Xenopus tropicalis: one gene and its partners. The protein of the gene in region 1 purifies or fractionates together with the protein of each later gene. This does not show direct contact. Links are inferred from orthologs where the notes say so. Each region holds a gene or a part of one and is shown in the gene's direction. Other genes may lie near its edges.

Region 1 (3,563 bases):
GTAAATCATTAAGGGACATCCGAGTTATCTGTACAATCTGTCAGCGAATCATGAAGCATTCTGTAGTGGATGATTGGGCAACCACAGCCCTTTAGCAGGGAAGATCTGTACCTTTTAAAGATGCCCCAGTAGCCCCCCATCTTCTTTTCTGCTGATTCCTAGTACATGCTCTGGGCTGCTGGCACTTACCTGAGGTTAGGTACTGGTTTACAATATAGATCTTACATTACAAGGCTTATTAGTCATTTGTTCAGATTCTCATTACAGCTCACAATCCAGGGCAGTTTGTATCAGAATTTAATAATCAGCCTTGTAGCATCAGCTTCTATGGCAGCCAAACTTTATTCTCTCCCCGATAATTTGCAACAACCCTAAACTTGGCTTCTCAACATCAGCCCAGAGCCCACTGAGCATGTGCAGTGCCACTGACACACAGTCAATGGCCTAACAAGATCCAACAATGGGAGCTGCTGAGGACGAGACTGAAGGCCTGGATCATTATTGTTATTGGGATGCTGAAGTTTAGTATATAATATACAATACTTCTGGCCATGATTGTTAGGCTTTAGTTCTCCTTAAACATCCAGTAATGTGAATTATCCATTGTGGTCACCAGGAGTAAAATTTTTAAAAAGGTTAATGCAGAGTTAAGTACAATTTTGCACGTTGAAGCTGTTTTGTTGTTCCCGTTAAAGGGGATATAAACCCAAAAATAAAATGTTGCCTAATAAAAGAAAATATAATTTTGAGCAACTAGCAGGGCTAGTTCAGGGCTGCTAGGCACAACACCCCAGTGGGGCTTATTTATAAACAATGGGCAAATAAGGCAGTTACACATGCCAACTAATCATGGGTGTGACTGTTAGCTTTTGTGTGTATCATGCTAAGACTAAGGTCATACAAATCAGTGATCATTTGATCTGTCACCTTAGTGAATAACAGGCGTTTCTTATACCAGTGGGCGGCTTTATACAGAGGTAGTAAAAGGCACTAAGTTTGCCCAGGAGCAGTAACCCACAGCAACTAATCAACAGGTGGAATTAACTGGTCACCTGTTTAAAAGTAAACATCTTATCGGTTGCTATGGGTTACTGCTCCTGGGCAAACTTAGTGCCTTTTATTACATATAATAAGGGGGGATAGACATGTAATGGAACTGATATAAGGTACGAAGTGACTTGACCTGGCAATAAGCAAGGGGGCGCCATACAGCAGTATACAGAAGGGGGCGTTGTACAAATGAAGTCATATTTAGGCAGTCAGTAGATGATAGTCTTATTTTCTTTAACGGCACTCTAAGATAACTGGAGTCATAATGAACATGCAGGTAAGGTTGAAAGAAATCATTTGCTAGTGCTTCTGTTTCTGCACTGAAGGCAAAAGGACTGTATTAATGTGAAAAGCATAGTTTCCCCCCATTTTTGTTGCTTTGCAAAACGTTGCCCAGTGCAGCTTTCCTAGCAACAGGAATCTTGCCTGTATGTATTTGGAGTGTGGAAGGAAACCAGAGTACCAAGAGGAAACCCACTCAGACATAGGGGGAACATACACACTCCTTGCAGTGCCCAGGCCACAAACCCACAACCCCAACACTGCAAGGCAACAACACTCCCCATTTGGAGTTCCCACAGGGAACCAGTATTCATAAGTACAGGCACATTTGTTGCATTCACTAATCTATAGCAGTGTAATAATAATATTTTAAGGGGGTTTGTAGTAACTGCCCAAATGCCATCTGTCATTACCCTTATTGCCCTAGGCAGGACAGACTAACTCTTGATTGGTTGCCATTAGACCATTGTGTGTGCATGTGATTGGGACTCAAGGTGGCCATACACATATACATACACATATACATACACATATACATACACATATACATACACAAGGTCGCCAAACGAGCAAATCTTCTAGGTGGCCACCTAATTGGGCTAATTTGATCATTTGGTACATGGATAGGGGTAAGGAGAATATACGTGTGGATGTGTATATAACATGTCCTGTTTATATGTTACAGCTGCTGATGATCCCCCTGATCATGTCGGTTCTGTATGTCTGGGCCCAGCTCAACAGAGACATGATTGTGTCATTCTGGTTTGGCACAAGATTTAAGGTAAACGGCCTCCTTTTTGTCCTCAAATACTCAGATATAGCATGCCTTTATCCTAATATTACCTTTTTCATTTAAAGAGATAATGAAACCTCAAATTAAACTGTTTTTAAATATATCATAATATTGTCTTTGCATGAGCTTTATAAATTTGCCATGAAAGTAATTCCTGATGCTTTTACATTCCCTATCTGATCCTCCATGTTGCTCTATGAGGGGGCGGCCATATTTGTGCAGCAGTAGGCCGTTAGCATTAGAAGCTATAACTGACAGGCTGAGAAGTGACAGGTTGGCAAAACAGTCAGGTTTAGGAACTTCATGTAACCATTACTTACAAAAGCAAACCTATTCATGAATAATGATCTTCATGACCTATAGGGAGCTTTACGCAGCCTGAGAATCAGCCCCTGTGCTGATATCAGCCTTTCCTGGTGCCTGCATCTGAAGCCGTTGCGTTGGTCTGGGTGCAGGCACACAGAGTAGATTTTTGCCCTGATTTATGCATACTTGCGCATTTTGGGGCCAAAATCTGCTCCATGTTCTTGTACCCAGGCTGACACAATGGTTTCAGATGCAGGCGCATCGGTAAAGGCTGATGTCAGCACAGGACTGTGTTTATTCTGAGGCCAGGAATCGGCCCCATGTGGCATTAGCTGAAATATGAATAGACAGGCTCAAATAAATTGGTCCTGAAAGCTGCTCTCCAACTACGGAGGATCTGATATTGACAAATAAACTGCATCTCCACCCAAAAACTGATTTTGTTCTGCTCCATCTAGTGGCTGAGATGGGACAATACAGTCCATGCTTTCATGGGAGTAGACTTGCATTTTGTTAGACTAGGTTTGGACTGGGATTCAGAATAGGCCCCAGCATTCCAAGTACACAGAGGCCCAAACAGCCCCCCCAGCCCAATAAATAGCGAGTGTCTATGGCATCTTACAGCAGCCCCTCTGGCATTTGCCTGAACCCACAGATTGCCAGTCTGGGCCTGGGTCCTGGCATTCCAAGTACACAGAGGCCCAAACAGCCCCCCCAGCCCAATAAATAGCGAGTGTCTATGGCATCTTACAGCAGCCCCTCTGGCATTTGCCTGAACCCACAGATTGCCAGTCTGGGCCTGGGTCCTGGCATTCCAAGTACACAGAGGCCCAAACAGCCCCCCCAGCCCAATAAATAGTGACTGTCTATGGCATCTTACAGCAGCCCCTCTGGTGTTTGCCTGAATCTACAGATTGCCAGTCTGGGCCTGGCACCATGGTAGAATAACAAGGGACTGGAGAAGAACAGCAAGGAAACAGGGTAGAACACCAAGGCCCTGGGGTATAAATCCAAGGGCCAAAACAGGCCCTGACATTCCAAGTACACACAGGCCCACACAGCCCCCCCATCAGCATCTTGCATTTTGTTGAAATGCTTTCTCCTATCAGTAAAGACTTCTTATGAGCTTGCT
Region 2 (4,244 bases), on another chromosome or scaffold:
AGGTTGGCCTGAAAAACACTGCAACAGGAGTTTTTAGTGTGACCTCCGCTTCAAGCACCTGCGCTATCGCATCTCACCCCCCCCCCCCCCGTGTTGGCGCACATGCGCAGTTCGGCGGGGGGGGGTGTGAGATGCGAACCGATAGTTCATTACCCCCGCCGCGTAATGACAAACGCCGGGGTCAATGAAACCAGAGCACAGCACAGACTAGGGGTAGGCAGGACAGGCTCCTGCCTGGCGCCCCCCAATTGTTGCGGCCTAGGCAGCTGCCTCTTCTGCCTACCCCTAGTTCCGGCCTTGTTTCAAGCACCTGCACTCAGAAGGAAGCTGTACTTTAAAGTGCAGGTTCACAGAGTGATATACGGGGGCGAAGAAAAATGCAGGCTGAGAGAAGCGGACCAAAAGCTTTTTGTGCCCAGGCCCTAAAACACTCAAGTCCAGCCATATCAATAGGTTATCTGAAAGCAGTCCTGTTATGTAGCGCTGGCTCCTTCTGAAAGTTTAGACTCAGGCACCAATATTACAACAACAACAAAAAAATGTATTGGTTTAATGGTAGAATTAATTATTTGCACTGTACACAGTGTAATTTATATTAAATTAATTATATTATTAATTATTTATTAATTATTTTATTAATTAAAAAAAAACTATACTATAAAAATCTTGACAGAATTTCTTCAACATATAATGCCTAGATATTAGGCAGGCAAACTAATGTTTGGAAAAAAGTTTTCCTCCTTGCCGACCTCGCGATTGCATGAAGTATTTCCTATGGCCAAGGTGTTGCATAAAGAGAACAGTATACACAATATTATGTGTACCGCATCGCTAGGCAGTTTACAGATATCAACGTTCATGGCCAATCTCTATCCAAACAGATCAATACCTGGGCAAATTTGCTGATTCCTACTGTTCCAGTTCCATTTACCACTGATATCCGTTCATGTTTATCTGTATATTTCAAGACTGAAAGAAACAGACATTTGCAATTAATGGAAAGAAAGGGCTCAATGCTGAACCATTACAAAATACAAATTTCAGGGAAAGGCTAGACACATTTAAAACACAAGTAAAGGCCAAGCATACTGTCAGGGTACTGTTTCAGGGTACTCGTTATGTTGCTGAAAAGGCTTGTTTACCCTGTGCTAAACCTGATTCTAGAACAGGGATAACCAGGCTAGGGCTTGTCAGTGTGTAGATAAACTTCAACACTGCCAGCAGGCTACGTAGCTCTGCGCTGGGAGTTGCAGTTCCGGCAGCCACGGGTTGGATATGCCTGGCTTGTAGTCATGCGTCTGGCGGCCGGCAGGGGGCACAGACGTATAGAACACACACTAAGTAGGGCTGTAATGGCTACGGGCAAAGCCTACTAGACCACAGCGTCCAAATAGGGCCAGCAGCAAGCGGTGCGAGCTGCTCCCACCCGCGGCGGGCCCTCCCTTCGGTGTGACAGGCCCTTTGGACTAAGGCAAGATGCCGCTGTTATTCCTGGAGCGATTCCCCTGGCCCAGCCTGCGCACTTACACCGGCCTGAGCGGCCTGTTGCTGGGCCTCAGCCTGCTAAGCGCCTATCGGAGCCTGAGCGGGGAGGCGGCAGAACGGAGCATGCTGGAAGGAGAGGAAGCTGGGGCACAGCTGCCACCTGAGCCCGTGGACTTAGTTGAGCTGTTCCGGTACCTGGTCTCTGACAGTCTTGGGGTGTGGGTGAGTGTGGCACCCTGGGCACGGTTACGGCTGACATCTCTAGCTGATTTTAAAGTACAATTCCTGAAATTCACGTCAACCCATGGCATTAAACCATGACTGTTTCAGAGTTGTAAACTGGCATAAGGGAGAATCATTGTACAGGGTAACGCAGGGACATTTTTGCTGTCTCAGCAATTCAGCCATAGCTCCAGGCAACATCAGAGCAGCAAATAAATCTTCACCCCATATTTTTCACTTCCCTTCTGGAGGCTTTGTAGGCCACAGGGACATATAGCAGAACCCTGCAATTTCCCCGTAATAATAAAACAGTACCATGTACTTGATCCCAACTAAGATATAATTAGTCCTTATTGGAGCCAAAACAATCTCCTGCCCCCCATAAGTGAGTGTCAAATTCTCTTAAGGCCCTCATACACGGGCCGATAGAAGCTGCCGATATTGGTCCCTTGGACCGATTCGGCAGCTAATCGGCCTGTGTATGGGAAGAAACGAGCGGCCTGGCCGACCGATATCTGGCCTGAAATTGGGCAGATATCGATCGGCCAGGTTAGAAAATCCAGTCGGATCAGGGATCGCATCGGCTCGTTGATGCAGTCCCCGAACCGACTGCCCATGGCCGCAAATGTAATCCGATCGTTTGGCCCCAGGGCCAAATGATCGTATTATTTTTTTTTAAGCAACTTGCTACCCGATATCGCCCACCCGTAGGTGGGGATATCGGGTAAAGATCCGCTCGCTTGGCGACATTGCCAAGCGAGCGGATCTTATAGTGTATGGGGACCTTTAGACTCTTAGCAGTGTTATGTGTGTGGCATAAAGCATGTGCATATCTTCTGATTAAATAAGTCCATTGGCATAATTACTGGGGGGTGGGGGCACGGTTGCAAATTTCATGCCTAGGCATTTAGCTTACAGCCAAATAAGTCTTCTGTTGTACTTTACAGATGTGGGTCCCAAGTTACTAGGTATTAGACTAGGCTACATTTGCCCGTAAACTACAACCAGTAAAATGTTTGCTGTCATTATTTTTGATATGTATTTTTGATTAAACAATAATGGATTTTTTTTTTCCCCTCTAAAGGTGGCCATAACACAGGCCAATTGTAACTGCTGATATCAGTCCCTTAGACTGATTCGGCAGCTTATCGGGCCATGTAGGGGCAGCAACGACAGGCATGCCGACCGATATCTGACCTGAAATTGGGCAGATATCGATTGGGCAGGTTAAAAAATTTAGTCGCATCGGGGGCTGCATTGGCTCCTTGTTGCGTTCCCCTAACCGACTTCGCCGTCGTTACAACTCGATCGTTTTGCCCTAGGGCCTAAATTTGCCCGATTGCTTACCCATAGGTGGGGATATCGGGAGAAGATCCGCTCGCTTGTCGACCTTGCCAGGCGACCGGATCTTTACGTGTATGGCCACCTTTAATGGGAAATCCGTGAAATGCCCAAACTGATTTTTTATCACCCAAATAACTTTGGGTTAGTTGACATTTCTGTAGCTCTATTACAGTGACTTAGGCTTGTTTCACACTAGACATACGCAAGCAGTTTTGCGCCAAATTCCAGGCTGACACAATGGGGCCGATTTATTAAAACACGAGTTCGAATCCCGAAAAAAATCCAAAAGTTCGGATTGGATACGATAATTTCTGAAGATCGCAAATATCACGAAAATGCTTACGAAAAAATCTTATTAGTCATGATAATATCGTATTGGCGATCCGAAAGTCACAAAATTTTTGCACCGAACGTTTGTAAACAGCGGCAGAACCTTTCCAAATCAAGTTGTGCAAGCGGGAAAAAAACGGCAAAAATACGCTCAGAGCGTTCGTGTCTTAATAAATCTCCCCCAATGTCTCTGGGTGCAGCCAAAACAATTACATTTTTCAAGCACGTGGTGGATTCTTGATCCGTGTTTACCTGCAGGCCGAGAATCTGCCCGTGTGGCACTAGCCTTAAAGTAATTGCTGTGTGATTGCTGAGTCGGCACCAGAGCAAGCTTTGCACATGTTATGCAGGGTTATGTTCATGTATAATCTTTAAAGGAATAGTAACACCAAAAAAAAATGTTTTAAAGCAATTAAAATATTATGTACTGTTGCCCTGCACTGGCAAAACTGATCTGTTTACTTTAGAAACCTTAGTATAGTTTGTATAAATAAAGCTGCTGTGTAGGAATAGAGGCAATTGGAATAGAGCTAAATGGCACAGGTTAAATAGCAGATCTCAGTGGAACACCATTATATTCTATAGAGCTTATCTCTTATGCAACTTGCGCTTTTTCTCCTTTGAAAGGCTGTTCCTGTAGCTACATAGCAGCTTGTTTATAAAAACTATAGTAAGGTTTCTAAAACAAACACATCAACTTTACCAGTGCAGGGCACACAATACATTATATTTTGATTACTTTAAAATACAGGTGTGGGACCTGTAATCCAAAATGCTCGGGACCTGGGGTTTTCCGGATAAGGGACCTTTCCGTAATCTGAATCTCCATAACTTAAGTCTGCTAAACATAATTTAAATATTGA
Region 3 (4,308 bases), on another chromosome or scaffold:
ATAAGGTCCAGACTGGAATTCAAAATATGTATGGGAATTTAAACTACAGAGACGCCCAAACTGCTCCCAGAAAGCCCAATAGATAACGATGGTCTGTCACCTTGCAGCAGCTCTTCTGCCATTTGCCAGAATCCACAGATTGCCAGTCCTGGCCTGACTCTAAGTGCCACTACCCTAAAGGTGACCATACATGTTAAGATCCGCTCGCTTGGTGAGGTCGCCCGTTGTTCCTGCCCCTACACGGGCCGATAAGCTGCCGAATTGGTCTAAGGGACCGATATCGGCAGCTACAACCGGCCCGTGTATGGCCACCTTAAGAGTTGTTTCTGTATGGTTTCATTATACAGGAACCACTTATCTTCAGATTCTAAGTAACAAAAAATGTATTTATTACAGTAATACAGTAACCTTACTAAAGGAAAACACATGCATTTATTGTATCTATAGTTATTAAAACAAAAAACTGTCATCTACAAAATTATAGGAACTAAATATATGGCATTTTGTCCTGCATTCTTACTACTATTACTTACATTTAAAATATCTTAATCAGGGTTTATCAAACTTGTTCTCAGGGAACTAAGATTTAGCCTGGAAGTCAGGCTTGGTGTTGCTTCAAGAACTGGTTTAGAATAAATAATAATATATAAATTTGAATCAGTACTGCCTTTAGTAGGAAGAAAATTCACTAAAGGAAAAAACATAGAAAACCACCTCCCCCCACCAAAAAAAACCAGTCATCGATTTTGTTTTCCGACCTACAGTCTGAACGATGCTAAATATAACCAACAGAATCTTCCGTTTACAAAGTAAAAGCTATAAATATAATATAGGGCTGGGTGGAAGTATGTGTGTGTACTTAAGCGTTAATAGCACAGATACAAAGTTTGCTTGCAGATTTTGCCGGTGACAGGCCTCTAAACACATCACTTATGAAACTATCGCATAATATTGCACAAGTTTCAATAAAATATATTGTTATCCGGTAGTTTATAAAATACGTATCACTGCTGGTAACTCTACTCGAATAATTTTACCATAACAGTCTTCACCTCCGATTACAAATAAGGATTGTTCATTATTGCCTTCTTTTAACAAGGAATAAAGTTTTTAACCTACAACAAAAAAAAACCCTGTGGGCCCGGAACGTGTATTCCACTCCCGCACGAACGCAAGACGCCGCGTCATAACGGTTATCCGAGACAAGAGGTGTCGTCAGCATTTGAGTGACGGGAGTTACAACCAATCGATGTCACGTATTATCCTAGTATCACCAATCAGCATTTTGACTGCTTGACAGCTAACTAGAAAGTGCATAGCCAATAGGGGTGCATAATTGTGATGGAGAACTTGTCCACCCTATCACACACAAGATTTGTTTATCTTTGCGTCCAATACACTCTTTAACCTTTCCCGTGACGCTCCGCTAGTTGCACAGCTAGGTTCCGGTTGATCGGTTGCCATGGCGGCGGCTGCTGGCAGCCCCGGTGCGGCTTATGAGTGTAATATCTGCTTGGAGACAGCGCGGGAACCTGTTGTCAGCGTGTGTGGGCATTTGTACTGGTGAGTGGAATGTGATGTGTCTGCCCTGTAGGCAGGTCTCTGCTAAGCTTGTTAATTCTGCTTTGCTGAGACTGTGTCCTTCAGTGGGTATGTATTTAGTTTGCTGTAGGAATGCATTGTTAGGGGGTTCGGCTACGGTCAGAAAGCTATCAGTAAAGTACAAGACCGAAATATTCAGGAAAGCTTCACCCCAACTGAAACTGTTCCCCTATAAAGGACTCAAAGCATTGGATGAGGGGAAAGAATGAGGCCCAGAGTACTAGTTGGAATGTGTTGAATGCTCTTAGAACCATATCATGTGACCTGTAGCTACAGCATGTTAAAGGGTAACTAAAATGCAATATAAGTTGCATGTCATGAAAAACAAACCTTCTAAACGTATTAAAATTTGCCTCCATACAAAAACTATTTTTTTGCAATGAAAAAAGGAAAATTGTCTGCAATGATTTAAAAAAATAAAATAAAATAAAATAAAAATGGAGACCTTACTGTTACATTGTTTCAATGTTTTCTGTTTTTTTTTTTTTCTTGAAGCAGGAGTCTGATTATGATTGACAATCATGTTTAATACAGCTATTGGGTGGGGCTCCCATTGCCTGCCATAGAAGATGTATTTGAGTTAATTCTTTCATAAAAGCAGACTTAAGCACAAATAATTCATGTAGAGGATCAAGATTGTGTGCGAGTTGGTTATTTTGAAAGAGTGATTTCCTTTAGGCAATTGGAATGCATCCCCAATGATGAATTAGTCCTCACTGACTACTCCATGAACAAAAAAAACAGACTGAAGAGTAACTTAAATATTAAAGAAATAGTACAAAATATATTTTTTGACCAATCATATTTTCTTAAGATAAAGCTGATTTTTATTTTTGCATCAGTTCCCCTTTGACATTTTGTAATCTTGTTATAAGCAAATTTTAACAGGTTCTCTTGATGTATTTTCACTGTACCCTGCAATCTTCTATGTTTAACCCAATCTTACAGTGAATATATTAATCCTTTCACTTATTGAGCCCCTTTGATCCACGCCATGATTTGTGTTGTTGGATTAAACTGAAACCCTGGAACTGCAGATTCTACATTGCTGGTACATATGTGCCTGTGCCCTGTAGATGCTTGAAATTAAAGGTGACAATTAGAGGATCCTTTGATGCTTGTTCTAGAAAATCAATGTCTTCATAATTCTACAATTGAATTATAAACTAGGCTATATCTGCAAGCACAGCCATTTTAAGCACAAATATTCCAATAGAACCTGTAAGCACAGCTGGTACAATATTGTTTTTTGTCTTAGCCAAAGAAAGTGCATTTTGCTTTACATATTTCATTATATCATTAAAACTCACTTGGCTTAAGCCAGAAAACGCAAAGTATGTTCAGATTCATATGTTTAAAATGAATATTTTTTCACAAACGACCGCAAGGCTAAACAGATAATGTGTCCAAAGTATAAACACTGATTTGTTAGTGTAAACAGATTTTGTTTATATGTATTGTATGGAAGAGACGCTTGTAAAATGCCACTGCTTGTAGTTTCTGTATGTGTGTTTATATAACAACGCTGATCGTTAAAACTGCATTGTGTTCTGTATTCTGATGTTATGTTTGTGTTTTACAGCTGGCCTTGTCTGCATCAGGTATGTATTTATTAATAAAAAAGTAGAATGAGTTAAATTCTTCTTTAGCTTTGTAGCAGCAGCAGCTAGCAGTGCTAACGGTTTCATTCAGATCACATGTTCAGTGTTACAGAAATATTTATTTGTAATAAAAGCATAACATAGATAAACTACTGTAGTATACATGAAGGGTATTTTATTTGTTTGTAGTAGTTCAAACCGTTTGCATATTGACTGCAACCTGTTCATATAGTGAAAAGTATGTATGTATGTATGTATATCTTAATTTATAAAGCGCTACTTATGTATGCAGCGCTGTACAGTACAATACATTAATACAAACAGGGGATTATTAAATAATAGATAAATACAAAGTACAACAATAAATACAGATAGATACAAGATAAATACAGTTGCAATAAGTTAAGAGTCAAAGACACAAGAAGATGGAGGTCCCCGTAGAGCTTACAATCTATATGGGAGGGTAACTTACAGACACAAATAGGCAAATGCACTATAAGTGCTGTAGGTCACAGTGGGTGACACTACAATATAAGTGCTGATTCCCAGATCAGGTGCTGGGTGAGTGCTCCAAAAGGTAGTCTTTAAGTTTAATTTTAAAAAGACTGGGGGAGGATTCTCTTCGGAGGAAATCAGGGAGGGCATTCCAAATGTAAGGGGCAGCAAGGCAGAAAAGTTTAAGGCGGGAAACAGCAGTAGTAGTGGGGGGCGCAACCAAACGATCGCTCTGTGAGGAACGAAGGAGTCGGCCAGGAACATACAGAGACACAAGGGAAGAGATGTAGTGAGGAGCAGAGGAATGGAGGGCTTTGAAGGTTAAAGGAACAGTAACACCAAAAAATGAAAGAGCTTTAAAGTAATAAAAATATAATGCACTGTTGCCCTGCACTGGTAAAACTGGTGTGTTTGCTACAGTAACACTACTATAATTTATATAATAAGCTGCTGTGTAGCCATGGGGGGCAGCCATTCAAGCTGGAGAAAAGGCACAGGTTACATAGCAGATAACAGATAAGCTCTGTGGAATACAATAGTGTTTTATCTGTTATCTGCTATGTGCCTGTGCCTTTTCTCCTTTGAATGGCTACCTCCATGGCTACATAGC

What was found. Proteins that work in one complex are often made in the same cells at the same time.
Region 2: the proteins of derl1 (region 1) and amfr purify together in Homo sapiens (affinity purification with western blotting; 4 studies listed by BioGRID, with this or other methods). This does not show direct contact. The link is inferred for Xenopus tropicalis from reciprocal best matches to the Homo sapiens genes DERL1 and AMFR.
Region 3: the proteins of derl1 (region 1) and rnf5 purify together in Homo sapiens (affinity purification with western blotting; 4 studies listed by BioGRID and IntAct, with this or other methods). This does not show direct contact. The link is inferred for Xenopus tropicalis from reciprocal best matches to the Homo sapiens genes DERL1 and RNF5.

The regions. Positions count from the first base shown.
Region 1 is NC_030682.2:139,688,754-139,692,316, reverse strand, and holds part of derl1 (derlin-1), read left to right. Parts: intron 1-1,300; coding exon 1,301-1,327; intron 1,328-2,017; coding exon 2,018-2,113; intron 2,114-3,563. UniProt on the Homo sapiens protein: Functional component of endoplasmic reticulum-associated degradation (ERAD) for misfolded lumenal proteins. Forms homotetramers which encircle a large channel traversing the endoplasmic reticulum (ER) membrane.
Region 2 is NC_030680.2:51,715,395-51,719,638, reverse strand, and holds the start of amfr (E3 ubiquitin-protein ligase AMFR), read left to right. Parts: upstream 1-1,385; 5' UTR 1,386-1,476; coding exon 1,477-1,707; intron 1,708-4,244. UniProt on the Homo sapiens protein: E3 ubiquitin-protein ligase that mediates the polyubiquitination of lysine and cysteine residues on target proteins, such as CD3D, CYP3A4, CFTR, INSIG1, SOAT2/ACAT2 and APOB for proteasomal degradation.
Region 3 is NC_030684.2:73,547,157-73,551,464, reverse strand, and holds the start of rnf5 (E3 ubiquitin-protein ligase RNF5), read left to right. Parts: upstream 1-1,449; 5' UTR 1,450-1,462; coding exon 1,463-1,563; intron 1,564-3,184; coding exon 3,185-3,203; intron 3,204-4,308. Other genes in the region: agpat1 (1-acyl-sn-glycerol-3-phosphate acyltransferase alpha), read right to left, coding at 1,120-1,222. UniProt on the Homo sapiens protein: Membrane-bound E3 ubiquitin-protein ligase that mediates ubiquitination of target proteins. May function together with E2 ubiquitin-conjugating enzymes UBE2D1/UBCH5A and UBE2D2/UBC4.